Linked DNA regions of Lonchura striata. The protein of the gene in region 1 purifies or fractionates together with the protein of each later gene. This does not show direct contact. Links are inferred from orthologs where the notes say so. Each region holds a gene or a part of one and is shown in the gene's direction. Other genes may lie near its edges.

Region 1 (6,839 bases):
TGTTCCACTTCCTCCATCTATGTTGCTGTCTAAAGCTGGAACCACTAGAACCTGTAGGACTGAATGGGAACTAGTCAGAAGGGATGTGAGACAGATCAAAATAGAGACATTTTCAGTAAGAAATGCAGAGAAGCAATGGAGACCTGAGAAAAGGAAGAGAGGAATAATGATAAAAGAAATGCTTGGATAAGAAAATTGAATGAGAATGTGGAGGACAGGAAGAAAAATGGGAAAATATAAATAAATGGAAATGCAAAACAAAGAATAATGAGAGAAAAGATTGTTCTTGCTAAGCAGTTTAAAACAGAGTATAGTGTATTTATTAATATTTAGAATGGGAGGAGGCATCTGGAGTGAAGCTGGTGGTTTAGATTTGAAATATGGAAAAGGAACTAAGACTACATCTGTTGTGTTTGATAACTTAATTCTTCGGCCCAGTCCCAGGATCTGGTCCCTTGTCATTCACATCTGAATATGTCCATCCACTTGTGTGCTCTCACTCGGAGTTAATTGACTGCTTCCCACCAGGAAGAAGTCAGGGCAGGAATCTGGAAGCTGCTGTGTGACCAGCACAGATAAGATTATGCCACCATCATCACCAGTCTGTCCTCCAAATGAACAGAGCCAGCTCACCATCCACCACAGAGATTCTCACGACGAGCACACAGCAGAGTCCCCCCAGTACTGCCATTTAAATGACACTCAGAAGGGCTGCTACATGGCCTCAGTTTGCTTCAAGCATTTTGACTTAAATGAACATGAAGAACAGAGACTGCAATTTAAGGTGCCACCATATGGTGCCACCCAGGAGACCTGGGGAAGCGTGTCACAGCACGGATCCTCCCACGGAGGAAATGAGGCTGAAGCAATGTGGCCACGAGCTGCTCCTTGGCAGCCACCCTGCCTACCTGCTGACTTGGAGCTATGGTGGCACAGGAGGAAGAAAAATCATGCAGCAGACTTCTGGCTCCTGGAATGAGGTGGGGATTGCTTTCACCTGGATGCAGACACTGCCAGGGGAGTCCTGGATGCTCCCCTCTGCTTTCAACCCAGTGGCAAGCATTTGTAACAGCAGCTGCAACCCGAAAAATAACATTTTAGGATCACACCCAGAACAATAGAACACGATGAGTTTTGGCCAACTGCCATGCAACACACCCTTGATGTAATACTAAAGTCACACATGGCAAGGTACTCCATTATGAAATCTTACATAATCATCTTTCATGAAATTATTTTCTAGTGTCGTTTCTGCTTATGATTTTATTTTGTTTTCCTCTTCATTGTTTACCTCATTCATGAATTAGCTTTCTGCATTAGTTTTCTGTAGAACAATTTAATAATTTCAGGATGTTTTAAGAGCTTTTAATAAAGAAAATATATGAATATTAATGAAATACCATGAAAAGTAAAAAAATCGGCAGAGGTGATATAAATCAGTACTTTACTTTATATTTCCAGGGTGGACAAGAATGGATAATTTCCCATCTAAATAACTATTTCCAATGACTATTAGAAGTGTTGATAACTTCTGTCTATAATTGTGTAACTATAAAAATGGCTCTTTTTTTTTTCTTTCATTAGGAGAAAGAACAGGTAATGACACTGAACTTGAAATTATCTTGACTGGATTCTTTTGTAATAATAACAATAATAATTTTCCTTTGAGCAGGAGCAATTATCCAGTGATCTCTTGAAACCTTTATTTCACACTGTTGCTTGGTGAAGTTGGCATGTAAATTTACCAGAAGCTTCCTGTCTTACATACAGATGCCAGTACACTTCATTCTTTTGATGAACCTCATTTGGAGAATGTGAAAACTATTAAAAGAAGAAGGTGAATCCTTGTTTTGCCATGCACTCCAGGAAATTCTGCAGCTGAAGCATCCTCCCATGAGCAAATCATCCCAGCCCAGGTGCCACTTGGCCTTGCTATAAACCTGAGGTGGGAAGGAGGACAGACCTATGTGTGCCTCATGAGCCCCACAGAGGCAACTGGTGGGTGCATCAACACCACTGATATGCATGAATCGACCAGCAATCTCTCAAGGAACGTCCAGGCTGACTGATAAAAAAAATGCAGGTTGCATGCTTCCAGACACTATTTAGAACTGTCCTGGGACCTCTGGGGGTGTTGCAGCACCTTGGAGAAGCTGGGGGAAATCACAGTCCTTCAGGATAATGTCTTTAGCAGCAGAGCCACTTCCTGCCTGCAGGACAACATCTCCAGCAAATCTGCTGGAGGCTGTCAAGTACTTGCTCTGCAAGCAGTGAAGTGCTACAGACTAAAGGCACCCTAGGAAAAATGCCTTTTGAGACAACTGATCAATATTTTCACTTTGCCCTTTGTTTTCCTGGAGGTCAGCTGCTGTTGCTGATGTTATTGCCTCATGAAGGAAGCCTAAATCTGCTTAGTAGTGTAGAACTGACTTGCAAAATTCAAATTTCCAACACATTACATGCCAGTAAAGATTCCGCAAGAGGTTCCTGTAGAGACTTGCCTTTACCAATGTGTTAGCAAGAATTGCTTTATCCCTTGGGACACTGGAAACTGCACTATCCAGGTACTCCGGGATGGATTTCATGATTGCAAATGTGATATTATTTTCAGGCTTTTTTCTTAGATGTGAAAATCAGTAGTATTATTTTGCTTCTTTTACACATCCCGGCCTACCTAAAGGCAAAGTGCATGTCAAGGAAGCTGCAGGGCAGCAGCACAAAGACAGGATGCTGAGCTCTGCCAGTGCCCTGCACTGTCACCAGCACTAGAAGCTGAAGAAAGTTTAGCTAATTTTCAGTCCTCCAGCAAGCTGATACCAAGCCTGTGTTTGTTTTTCTGAGCAAGAACTAACCAAATATATGAAAAGTTAGGCTTCTTCACAGCATCTTTATGAGATGAGAGATGGCTACCTCCTTCCTACTCTGTGTTACAGACAAAGTGAGGGAAAAAATCACATTAGCCACAAGTGTCTTTATTAATGGAACGGGGGGAAGCCAAGGAAGGAGGTGAACAGTACAGTGGGGATCCATATGAGGCTGTATTTTGGAAACAGATAGGACTTTCAGTCCTCTCTGATGGAGGTGAGGTAGTTTGAGAGGCACATTTTCCCTGGAAATTATGCTTTAAAAATTAATCACTTGTGCTGCACTTGAGCTTTGTGCAACCCGCAGGAATCAAGGACTCAGCAGACACAAGCACTTGTGCTGCCAACAGGTGAATGAGATTTACTTTCCGGGTGTTTTTTTTGTTTTGTTTTGTTTTGTTTTTTTGTTTGTTTTCCGCCCCCGGCGTGCCCCGCAGCCGGCAGGGAACGGAGGCTGGCTGGCTGCAGAGATCGGCAGCTGTCATACGGTGGGAGGACCCTGCAACACCGAGTTAAATCTTAACTTTGCTGTGCATTTCCCAAGGGACGGATGCCTGTGACGTTAAAGGGAAACCGTTTCAACACTTTATACTTTTAAAAGCCAGGGAATGCGCTCACACGGAGCCACAGAATCAATGAGGCTGGAAAAGATCTCTGATAAGCTCGAGTCCAGCCCATGACCCGACACCACCACGTCAGCTGGACCACGGCACTGAGTGCCATGTCCACTCTTCCCTTAAACACCTCCGGGGACGGTGACTCCACCGGCCCCCTGGGCAGCCCATTTCAGTGCCAAATCACGCTTTCTGAGAAGAAATTCCTCCGAAGATCCCAAACCCCTTGACGCCGGGGCTGCGTGAGGGACCCCGATCTCCCCCACACTAATGACCTTTCATGACCTTTAATGACATTTCGCCTCTGGCCGGCAGGGGGCGTTGGCCGGGCGGCCGCCGCAGCGCAGGCCCGCGCATGCGCAGAGCGCGGGGGCGCAGGCCGGGCGGCGGTCGCGGCCGAGGCGGCGGCAGGAGAGCGGCGGACGGGGCAGCGCTGCCCACCCTCCCCTCCATGCGCAAGATGCTGCTGGCCGCGCTCTCCCGATTGCTGCAGGGCCCGGCGGCCGCCGGGAGGACGGTGAGCGCGGCCGCTGAGTGCGGCCGGTGCGGCCCGGCCGGGAGCGGAGCGGTGCGAGGGGGCACGGCTCCGGGAGGGACGGAGGGAGCGGCCCGGGAGCGGGGGCCCGGCGGCGGAAGGGAGCGGCTGAGGAAAAATTAATGGGGAAAAGAACCGCGTTGGTTTTTCTTTCCCTCGCTCTGACGAGCCCAAGTGACAGTAAAATGGTGGTCGCGTCAGGAGCTCGGTTCTTAAGCCGATAATGGCGCAGGGCTTGGATCGATACTGGCCGTGCTTACTTAGACTGCGCGGTCAGCTCCCGCAGGGCGATCCGCTCGGCCCGCTTGCAGTTCAGCTTCTGACTGCACTGCTTGACCTCCCTTCGCTCAGCCAGCGGCCCCTTTCTACCTCTGCATCAATTGTGTTTCAAAGTTCGTTATTTTTTTATTAGTGTCACTTCTTGTATTTTATGTTTGTTGTGTGAAAAATTGTGCTTTTACCGCTTCATTCAGCTTATTCCACTGTAATGACTGTGGCCACGAGGAAAAATTAACCCTGCTGAAAAAAAAACTTGTTGGTAAGGCCAGAGTTAAAAGGTACTTTTTTGGTAACTGGAAATCAGGAGCCGTTTTGCCATGGAGAGCAGATGTGTTGCTGCAGCCCCCTTCCGAGGCAGCTCTCTCACCCAGGCATTCACTGTATGAGGATGACTGCATCCATCAGAAAAACACAGGGGAGAAAATTTACTGGAAGCTGTCACTATCTCTCTTTGGGCTGCATATCTAGGAGTATTTCCTACTTCACAATAGAATTTCTAGATTAAATTTTGCAAATATGGGTGCCTAAAATTTGTCCGTTACTGCAAGTACTTGGCCTGCTCTGGAGATACTGTGTTCTCCTGGAATGCCAAAGTAAATCTGGTTCAGATATTTCAATAAAGATTTTTTGGATCCTACTGCTTACCAAATATGTAAATATTTGTCTTGTATTGTTCCTATGGCTCTGCAGTGAAGGCATAAATTAGCAAATAAATAGAGGCAGACTTAATCTATAAAGCAGTATCTCATATATGCTTTGAGCATTTTCCAGAGTGTACAGATGGATTTCCATGTATAGAAACTAGCACTTGCAGTGTTCTATTCTAGTTGGATAATAATTTGCTGACTTCTCCTCCCCTCATTATTTGATACAGCTACTTACTCTTCTTTTTTTTTTTTTTCCCTTCCAAATGCTGCTAACCTAGGGAGCCGTTAGCGAGGTAAGGCCTCAGTCAGTCTTGTCAAGGTTTACTTTTGATAGATGTACTGCCTACATATCAGGGCTTTGGTTCAGACTCCTCAGTGTGCTTTTAACCAGGAGTTTAACCAGGTGGCCTAAAGAGATCCCTCCTGACCGTGGCCATTCTGTGATACTGTTAATCCATACTGTGGATTTACTTCCAGCTCTAGAAGTAAAATAGCTTTTCTTCACTGATAATACTGATACATTGTGGTAAATAGTGTAGAAACTAGGTTTAAATTAAAACTTCTAAATATTTAATCTGATAACAGGGCAGGGTGAATGGGGGCAGTGTTACTGATAAATCTGATCGATATGCAACAGAGGAGGTAACCAGGATGGGTTGAGAATTTTCTCCCAAGCTTGACACGTGTCAGTCAGAGCTTTTTTGGAGATGGTGACCTGAACATTCTCAAAATTTTGGTAGAATCTACCTTCAGCTGGAATCTACCTCCTGGCTGAAGGAGCTACTGAAATTTTTGTGTAACTTAATTAGCAGTATAGTCTTGCCACTAAAGATGCAGTGTTCCTTATGCTGTGGCCACAGTGCATGCATGGACATGGGCCATCCTGTCTGATGCTGCAGTGAAACTTGCTAAAGTCATCTCAAATCACCACCATTCATTAGTCAACAGCCCGTGTTCCTTCTTTCAGAGGGACCAGTAATGTATTTTTAGACATCCTTCCTATCTCTCCTCTACCATGCCACCCTTTCTGTTGTTCTGTGTTTCTTGTATCCTCAGGAACCTTCTGTGTTTCCACGTTATTAGAGTAGCCATAGTACTGGCCATGCTGTCATAGAAATGATGTTCTCTCTCTCTCCATTTTTATGGCTTTGAATTCCCCCAATTTCTCTTCCTATTGAAAAGAAAAAGTGAGAGTAGTTTACATTTCAGATATCTGCTGTATTTCTTTTGTTTGGTTAGTTTTGGGTGTTTTTTTTTTTTTTGTTCTATCTAGTCAAAATTCCATTTAGCACAGAGTCAGCAGTCAAAGTCTGTGTTGGTTGTCTCTCCTTATATTGTCAGCCTGGCATGTGAAGGGATAAAAAATTATTTTTGTGGTTTTGATGATCTTCATTGTCAAAAGTTTTGATACTTACTAGGTTTATTTTAGATAATCAAGGGTATTACCAGTTTAAATTCTCTTTTTCTAATCTTAATTTTAAATAATGGGTTTTAAAGGATTTTGATATATAGACTAAAAGTTCCCTAGTCTTCTGGGATATGCCACTGCTGAGTCTAATTTATAAGTTATTTCACTTTGGGAGTACTCTTAGAAATTACTTGAAAAGTCACATACTTTTACTTGATAATGACATTTAAACATTGCTCATGCTTTGGTTTTGCCTTTTTTTTAAGGCCTCTCGAGTGGTGGTAGCATCACGTAACTATGGAGACTTCGCAAGTGAAGCTACATTTGAGATTAAGGTAAAGAACACTTAATACTGGCATTTTTTGTAAGCATTTGTTAGAGATCTTAACCTGATGGACTGGTCCCCGTGTCTCTTTCAGTTAGAAAATACGGTTTGAATTTCCAGAACCAAACCCCTCACTATCTGACCTGATTACTAAGTGCAGCTGGAAG
Region 2 (7,520 bases), on another chromosome or scaffold:
GGATCTGACAAAGTAGCTGACTCACTCTGGCCTCAGGGAAGTTACTTCACTCTCTGGATCATCTTCTCCAATTGAGTATGAGAACAATAATATGAAATTATCTGGCATACCTCCCAATGCAGCTATAAAAAAATAATTATCTGGTATTTAGGACTGGCTGTAAAAGTGGAAAGGTGATGGTGGTGTTGGAGAACCTCTGTAGATGGGGAGTCAGGGCAGCTGGGAGACCTGCAAGAGGCTCAGGTGATTGTCACCATTTGTGTGACAGCCTCATGAGTTTATGGTTATAAACAGTGGGTGCCTCTCTAGCCACAAGCACAAAGTCTGGGCCATGGAAGCATCTCTTCCCATGTGACACTAGACATTTCCATGGGCTTTGGTTTCCACTAGTCTAGGCCCAGATAACTACAGTAAGCACAAAGCCATGTGGTGCCCACCTTACATCATGACCAGCAGCACGGGCTTTTTTCTCCCTGCCTGTCTTGCCAGGGCCAACACAAATACTTGTCTAAGGATATCCCCTGTGATCTGTATGTTGCCCACAGCCTCTGCAGGGGGCTGACTTAAAGGCAGAGCAGGTGTTTGGACCTTCTCATCTCAGGGAGTGAGCTTGCATCTAAGGGAAGGTGCCAGCATTGCCACCTCCCAGTATCAAAGAGATGACAACTCTGCAGCAGTCTTGTGGCTGTCACTATTGAACAGGGGGAAGCTGTCAAAAGAGTCCAAAGCCATTTTTTTATGTGTCTCTTTTGTCTGGTGTGAGGGGACTTGGCACAATCCCACTTTGCATCCCTGCAGGTCAGCCCTGTCCTCCCTGTGGGACTCAGGTTGCAATGGCTGCATTTAGACCTTGTATCAGGGCTTTAAGATGTTCATCCTCCAGCATTTTCTCAGTGAGCACAGACATAATCCCTGCACTGAGTGCAATGTCCTCTGCACCACAGATTGGAGATCTGCCATGAGATAAAGTGACTGCAGTTGCTTCCTATAGTTGGTATCTGGTGATCAAGTCTTGTCCAGAGCTACCTTTTTGTTTTCATGTGATGCTGCTCTATGCCATAGAAACTATCAGAGGATTGCAAAGGTGAAAGCATTAATAGATTACCAGAACAGTGTTTGTACTGCAGGCAGGGATTAGGGACAGGACAGGCAAAAGACTGGGTCTGTGCTCTTGCCAGTGGAAATGCATAGGTGGTCATGCACTAGCAGATTTCTAATGAACAAAATGCCAGCAGAAGCAGGGGGAATCTGCTTTAGACAAGATAAATCAAAGCATGACAAAACTTGGAGCATCAAAGCAAAATTTTGTGTATTTACTGCATTTTAGTTCCCTTTTTGTATGTTAGATCATTATAATTATAATTTGAGAAAGCTGCTCTGGGAGGCCAAAAGTGACAAAGGAAAGCATTGCACAGCCAGCTGAGAGAGGACAGCCACACACAGGAGGCTCTGGACAGTCAGTTTTCACTGAGGCACAGCCACTCTAGGCTTGTGCTACATCTTTCTGGGCACAGAGGCAAAGAAAGGTTGTTCCCAGCAATGAGGAGAGGCTGCAGGACTCTGAAGAGCTGAAATAAGCTGAACAAGTATCAGGGGAATAAGGGAACTCTCCACAAGCTTTTAATGTCACAGATGGCCAGGGGTGGGGTAGCTGTGTGTCCACAGAAGAGGTGAACACATTAAGCACTGTGGGGAATCCCAGATGCTCTCAGCTCATCTCAGGGATCTATAGGTGCCACAGCTGAGGTGATGTCCTCCCTGGGCCTCTCTGCAGGTGTTTTTGTACCGGTGCTCACTGAGAAATTAGAAGGGAAAAGGAGGGGCTCTTTTGGTCTAAGGACAAAAGCAAAGAGGTGGTGTAAGACACATAATGTTTGATTGTCTCTAATTGGATCAGGAAGATTAGTAAATAGAGATTAGGTGACACAAAAGGAAGAAAATCAAAGCAGGAGACATTCTCACTTCCTGGTTTAGAGGAACGAGTGCATGAAATAGGTTGAGGTTTCTGCATCAGCAAATGTCTAAAGACCTGTTACTGTAACCTCAGAGATCCAGTCAGCTATGTGAATGCCCCTCAAGGATAGAGAATGGATTTCTTCAGAGCAGTGTTAGTGATTGGGAATGATAGGCATCTGATTTTCAAACTGATCCATTTTTATGGGTTTTCATTGGAGTTTGACATTTTAGTTTCCTTCACAAGCTGCTAAAGCTCAGTGTGCTGGGCTGCTTGCTGCAGCACACTCCAGTGTTCCCAGGGCACGTGGTTATTTTGATGGGGAGAGGACAGGGGGATATATCAAGAGCCATAGCTCAATACTTCCATTTGCTACTACCATCCTCCTACTTCCACTCTGCCACTATGAATGTAGCTCCCATCCTGGATAGCAGGGACCTGTCTCCTGCCACTGGTGCTCTGTATGTTCTTGGAAGCAAGCAGGATCTTGCCTCATCAGCTTAAGAAAATGCTGTGTTCCCACCGAGGACTGGAAAGCATCTTGTCAACAGCAAGTGGCCCAGGGAACTTTTTTGTGAAATTCTGCATAACAAAGGCCTGTAACAGGTGGTGCCAGGATTGCTCCGCAGTACAAGAGGAAATGTCACTCACAGTTCTTGTTTGCTTTACATATTGTGTAAAAAAAAAATTAAAAGGAAGCTTTTAGGAAAAGAGAGCTGAGGAACATCCACTAATTTGCCAAATAAAGTCTGCCCATGACAGCCCAGCACATGGGTCTCCTGTTAAAGGCAATGGACTGGGATAAGCCAGTGCTCTGCTCCACCAGCTGCTGATGTGCTGAAGGCTTTTCCTCTTTTGTCCAATCTGCATTTTAACTAATACCACGTTTTTCTGCAGCTCTTTGCATCTAATGGGGCACCCTAAAAGCACTAATAAACTGTTGCTAAACTTTTCTTTCTCTGGAGTCTGGAGCATCTCTCTTATGAGAAGACACTGTGGCAGCTGGGCCTGTGTAGTCTGAAGATTGAGAGGGTGTCTGTAATCCATACAAATATCTCAAAGGCAGGTGCCAAAAGGATGGTGCCAGACTCTTTTTGGTGGTGCCCAGTGACAGGACGAGGAGCAAAGGCCATAAACCAAAACACAAGAAGTTCCACCTCAACATGAGGAAGAATTTCTTTAGGCTGAGGGTGGCAGAGCCATGGAACAGCTGCTCAGGGAGGGCATGGAGTCTCGGGAGACATTCAGATCTCACCTGGACGTGTTCCTGTGTCACCTGCTCTGGGTGACCCTGCCTTGGCAGGGGGCTGGGCGGGATGATCTCCAGAGGTGTCTTCCAACCCCAACAAGTCTGTCATTGTGTGATTTTCTTTTTAATATTGCTAGAATATTGCCTCGGTCCTTTATTATCTTTCACTAGATTTAAAAATACTTTTTTCCCCTTGGTGTCTTTCCTGAGTTCATAAGCTAACTAAACCCACAGCAGTCACATGACTTTGATGAATAATAATATTCAAGTAATTGCTGAGTAACAAAATGAACTTGCTGCCAACACAGAGTAGAAATATGGATTTCACTTATACAACCAGGATAGTTATTATCCCATGGATTTAAGTCCAGAGACTTCAGAAGGCCCCATTTTACTTGCCTGCCTATTGATCTTGGTGCTGACAATTGCCTGGTTAATCAATCTAAATGTATATTCAACTGGCATCTTTTATCTTCTTTCCTGACAAGCACTGTTGCTACTACCCCACTTTAGATTACAGCTGCGAGTAAAAAATTACAAATATTAAACATATATAATCTAAAATGTAGTCTAAGTAATAGCTGAGGGTTTTTATCACATAGGAATGCAACTGCAGAGAACTCCGCGCTAGCTCTTCAATGCTATTTAGAAGACAGCGAAGAACAGATTTGTGCCTGTGTGTCCCCATCGTTTATTTCCGAAAGCACAAAGGCTTCTTTGGCCCTCCCGCCTCCCCTCAGCGCAGGGTGCGGTGTTCGCTGCCCTGCTGCGCTGGCAGCCGGCGGGGCAGGCAGGTCCCAGCGCAGCGCTGCCGTGCGTGCGGCCCGGCGGTACCAGCACATTCCGCCTGCACGGACCGGACCGGCGGTACCGCCGCATTCCCCCTGCACGGACCGGACCGGCGGTACCGCCGCATTCCCCCTGCACGGACCGGCCCGGCGGTACCAGCACATTCCGCCTGCACGGACCGGACCGGCGGTACCAGCACATTCACCCTGCACGGACCGGACCGCCGGTACCGCCGCATTCACCCTGCACGGACCCGGCCCGGCGGTACCAGCACATTCACCCTGCACGGACCGGCCCGGCGGCACCAGCACATTCCCCCTGCACGGACCGGCCCGGCGGTACCGCCGCACTCCCCCCGCCCAGAGCCGGCCCGGCGGTACCGCCGCACTCCCCCCGCCCAGAGCCGGCCCGGCGGTACCGCCGCACTCCCCCCGCCCAGAGCCGGCCCGGCGCCGGCCATGCGGGCGGGCCCGGTGACGTGGGGGCGGCGCGGTGACGCCGCGGCCCCGTGAGCGGAACTCGTCGGGGAGGCGGAAGCGAGCGCGGGAGGCGGCGGGGCCCATTAAAGCCGACGAGGCGGGCGGGGGGCGCAGCGATCGGGGTCGGGCCGCGGCGGCAGCACCAGGTGAGCCCGGCGGCCGCGCGCGCTGCCCGCGGGGCTGCGGGGGCGGCCTCGCCCCGGGCCGGGGCAGCCGCTGGCGGCCCCTCCCCGGCACCGGGGGGCCGCGGCGGAGGCGGCGCTGTCTCGGTGCTCCCGGCCGGCTTTGCACCGGGGCCCGGCTGGTTTGCCCGCCCCGAGGCGGGCTCAGGCGGCCGCGCCGCCTGGAGCCGGGCCCGGCGCTGCCCCGGGACGATACGGGGGGCTCTCCCCGGGACGGGGCTCCTCCCCGAGGGCCGCTCCCAGGACGCGCGTTCCGCCCGGCCTTTGTGGAGCCCGCTGTGCCGGGAGGCTTGGGGAGGCCCGAGCGGTGCCTCCCGGGGAGGGAGCGCTTTGTCTGCGGCGTGCGGAGCCGCTCCGGCTCCTCGGGAGGGTTCGGGGCGGCCGGCGGCCGAAGGAGGGCCGGGGCCGCGGGGGGACGGTGAAACGCTGCTCGGGGGGTCGGCGGGGAGCGCTTTTAGCATGACCCGGCACCCCGGGAGCAATTAAACTGGCCAAAGAGGTGGCCGAGGACACTGGCAGTTATTGCGAAAGTAGCTGTCGGTGTGTGTAAAGCCTGAGTCAGTTCTAAGAACTATTAGAGTGGACGTTAGAAGTGCTTTTGTCTGTAAGTGTGTAATAAGGTAAATTAAGTGATAGATACATTATTAGTTTCCCTATATATAGAGAGAGACTAATAAACATGGAAATGCCTGGTGGTTGTACTTAAGACAGTTGCACTCCCTGTAAATAGAGGGCTTATTTTAGTTGTAAAAACGGCTGTCTTAATCTGAAGTAGGATAGGTAACCTCAGCATCAAAATGTGTGTCTCACCTAGTACTCTCCGCCTTTTGTTCTCAAAGCTGGAAATTTCAGCATTATCTCCTGGAAAGCTACAAATGTTTGCTGATAAGCAGAGCTGTTGTGGTCTGTGTGTATGAGATTTTTATATGTAAACTGAGAACACATGACAGAATGAAGTCCCCCCCCCACAGCTGTAAGCAAGCTGTTCTTTGTCTGACACTTGCCAGCATGGAACCTTAAAGCTTTCAGTACTTGTCACTGGCTGGCCAGCGTTGGCCTATGCCGAACAGTCTGTATCCATGTGGGTATTGGGTTTGGGGAAGTGGAAGATTCTCTTTTTAGGGGAATGGTACATAAGTAGCTGTGCCACAGTGTTTTGGCTGGCTGTGACTTGAAGGCTGTGGTGGTACCAATGGCGTGTGAATAGCAGCTGCAGCCTGGCTCTGGTTCCAGTAGAACCAGGCTGCTGGAGTCAGTGTACCCTGCTCTCTCAGGAGCTGAATTTGAGGTTAAAGTGGGTGGAGTAATTTGAATATTCCTTGTTAAATAATCAAGGCTTCGTTGCTGTACTTACTCGGGAAGAACAAGTATACTTTTCTTTCCCCCTCTCCCTTGTGACTCCCAACAGCTGACTGAACACATGACTTGCCCTCCATGCACTAATGAGTGGACCCACCATGCCTGCCTGGCCTGAGTCCTCAGAATTAAAGCAGCTCTAGTACTGTTAACTTTACAGCATTGCCTTATTTGTTTATTTGGGGTGTATGTTTGTGTGTTTTGGATTTTTTTCTTTATTCTTTGTGCTGTTATGTTACTACCCTACGTCTGGTGTAGAAAAGCTGTTATGGGGCTAATCTGACCCCTCAATAATGAAGACTTCTGAAATCTCATAGCAGTTTCTTGCTCTCCCAGCATGTAGTGTGAAGTATAAGATGGGAGTAGCTGTGTTAAATGTTCTTCTTTCCTGTGGTGTCATGCAGTGGTCCCTGTCCTCAAACTCAAATACCCTCATAATAGCTCAGCACAGAATCACAGACTATTCCAAGTTGGAAGGGACACATAGGGATCATAGAAGTTCAATTCCTGGCCCTGTACAGGACACCCCCACATGTGCCTAAGAGTGTTCAAGTGCTCTTGAGCTCTGGCAGGCTTGGGGCCATGGCCATTTCCCTGGGGAGCCTGTTCCAGTGCCCAGCCACCCTTTCGGTGAAGAACTTTTTCCCTACAGCCAGCCTAAACCTGCTTTGACAAAGCTTCATGTTCTTTTCTTAATCCTGTCACTGGTCACCAGAGTGAAGAGGTGGGAAACAGGACACCCCGAGTTGTACCTTCAGGGTGACAAGTTAAGAATTTAAATAACTGTGTGGCAGAGTTTTCACTACAGGCATCCTGGCCCTCCTGTCAAAGCCAGGGAATCCAACTTTCTGAGCAGCACAGACATGTTAGAAGATTGATAGATCCTCAACTGAAAGTGTAAAATATACAAGCTCTGCTCTGAAGTGACCTGGGAGAGATATGACTTTGCTTAGTTTGCTAACCAAAATGAAGGCTTGTGAGCAGGAGGGTTACCAGATTTATTTTCTGCAGCACTTTCTTAAAGCTCATGTTTTAGGATACTTGTGTTGGATGGTTGTGAGAAGTACCTGTTGGAGCAAATCTCTGGCAAAGCTTGTCCTTGAGGAAACATAACAATTGCCATCAAACCATCTGTGCAAAACTATAAATAGTTCTGTCTCTAACATATATGGGATTTTGGTCTGACTTCTGTGTGAAAATGAGACTGTTTTATGCAGAACTTAACATTTGGCTGTAAACAACATTGGCTATGCTTGGTTAGGGTGTGTTTTTTAATGCTGCATTGTGAGAGAAGGTTTGCAGGTACCTGGCTTGAAAATAAGGGCTATGCAATAGGGCACTTAGATGTATTCTCTGAAACTGTTGGATGATGTGGGCTCACAAGTACTTATTGTTGCATGTCCTTGCCTTCAGAATGCAGCGATTTCGTTAGTGACTGAAGTAAACTGACCCTTTGTGAAACAAACACAGGACTCTCACCTTGCACGTGTCCATGTTTCCTTGTGTCTTCT

Evidence for each region. Proteins that work in one complex are often made in the same cells at the same time.
Region 2: the proteins of PDHA1 (region 1) and RAB7A fractionate together in Homo sapiens (co-fractionation; 3 studies listed by BioGRID, with this or other methods). This does not show direct contact. The link is inferred for Lonchura striata from reciprocal best matches to the Homo sapiens genes PDHA1 and RAB7A.

Annotation. Positions count from the first base shown.
Region 1 is NC_134604.1:101,794,934-101,801,772, forward strand, and holds the start of PDHA1 (pyruvate dehydrogenase E1 component subunit alpha, somatic form, mitochondrial), read left to right. Parts: upstream 1-3,832; 5' UTR 3,833-3,833; coding exon 3,834-3,995; intron 3,996-5,217; coding exon 5,218-5,232; intron 5,233-6,613; coding exon 6,614-6,682; intron 6,683-6,839. UniProt on the Homo sapiens protein: The pyruvate dehydrogenase complex catalyzes the overall conversion of pyruvate to acetyl-CoA and CO(2), and thereby links the glycolytic pathway to the tricarboxylic cycle.
Region 2 is NC_134614.1:12,813,295-12,820,814, reverse strand, and holds the start of RAB7A (ras-related protein Rab-7a), read left to right. Parts: upstream 1-4,504; 5' UTR 4,505-4,617; intron 4,618-7,520.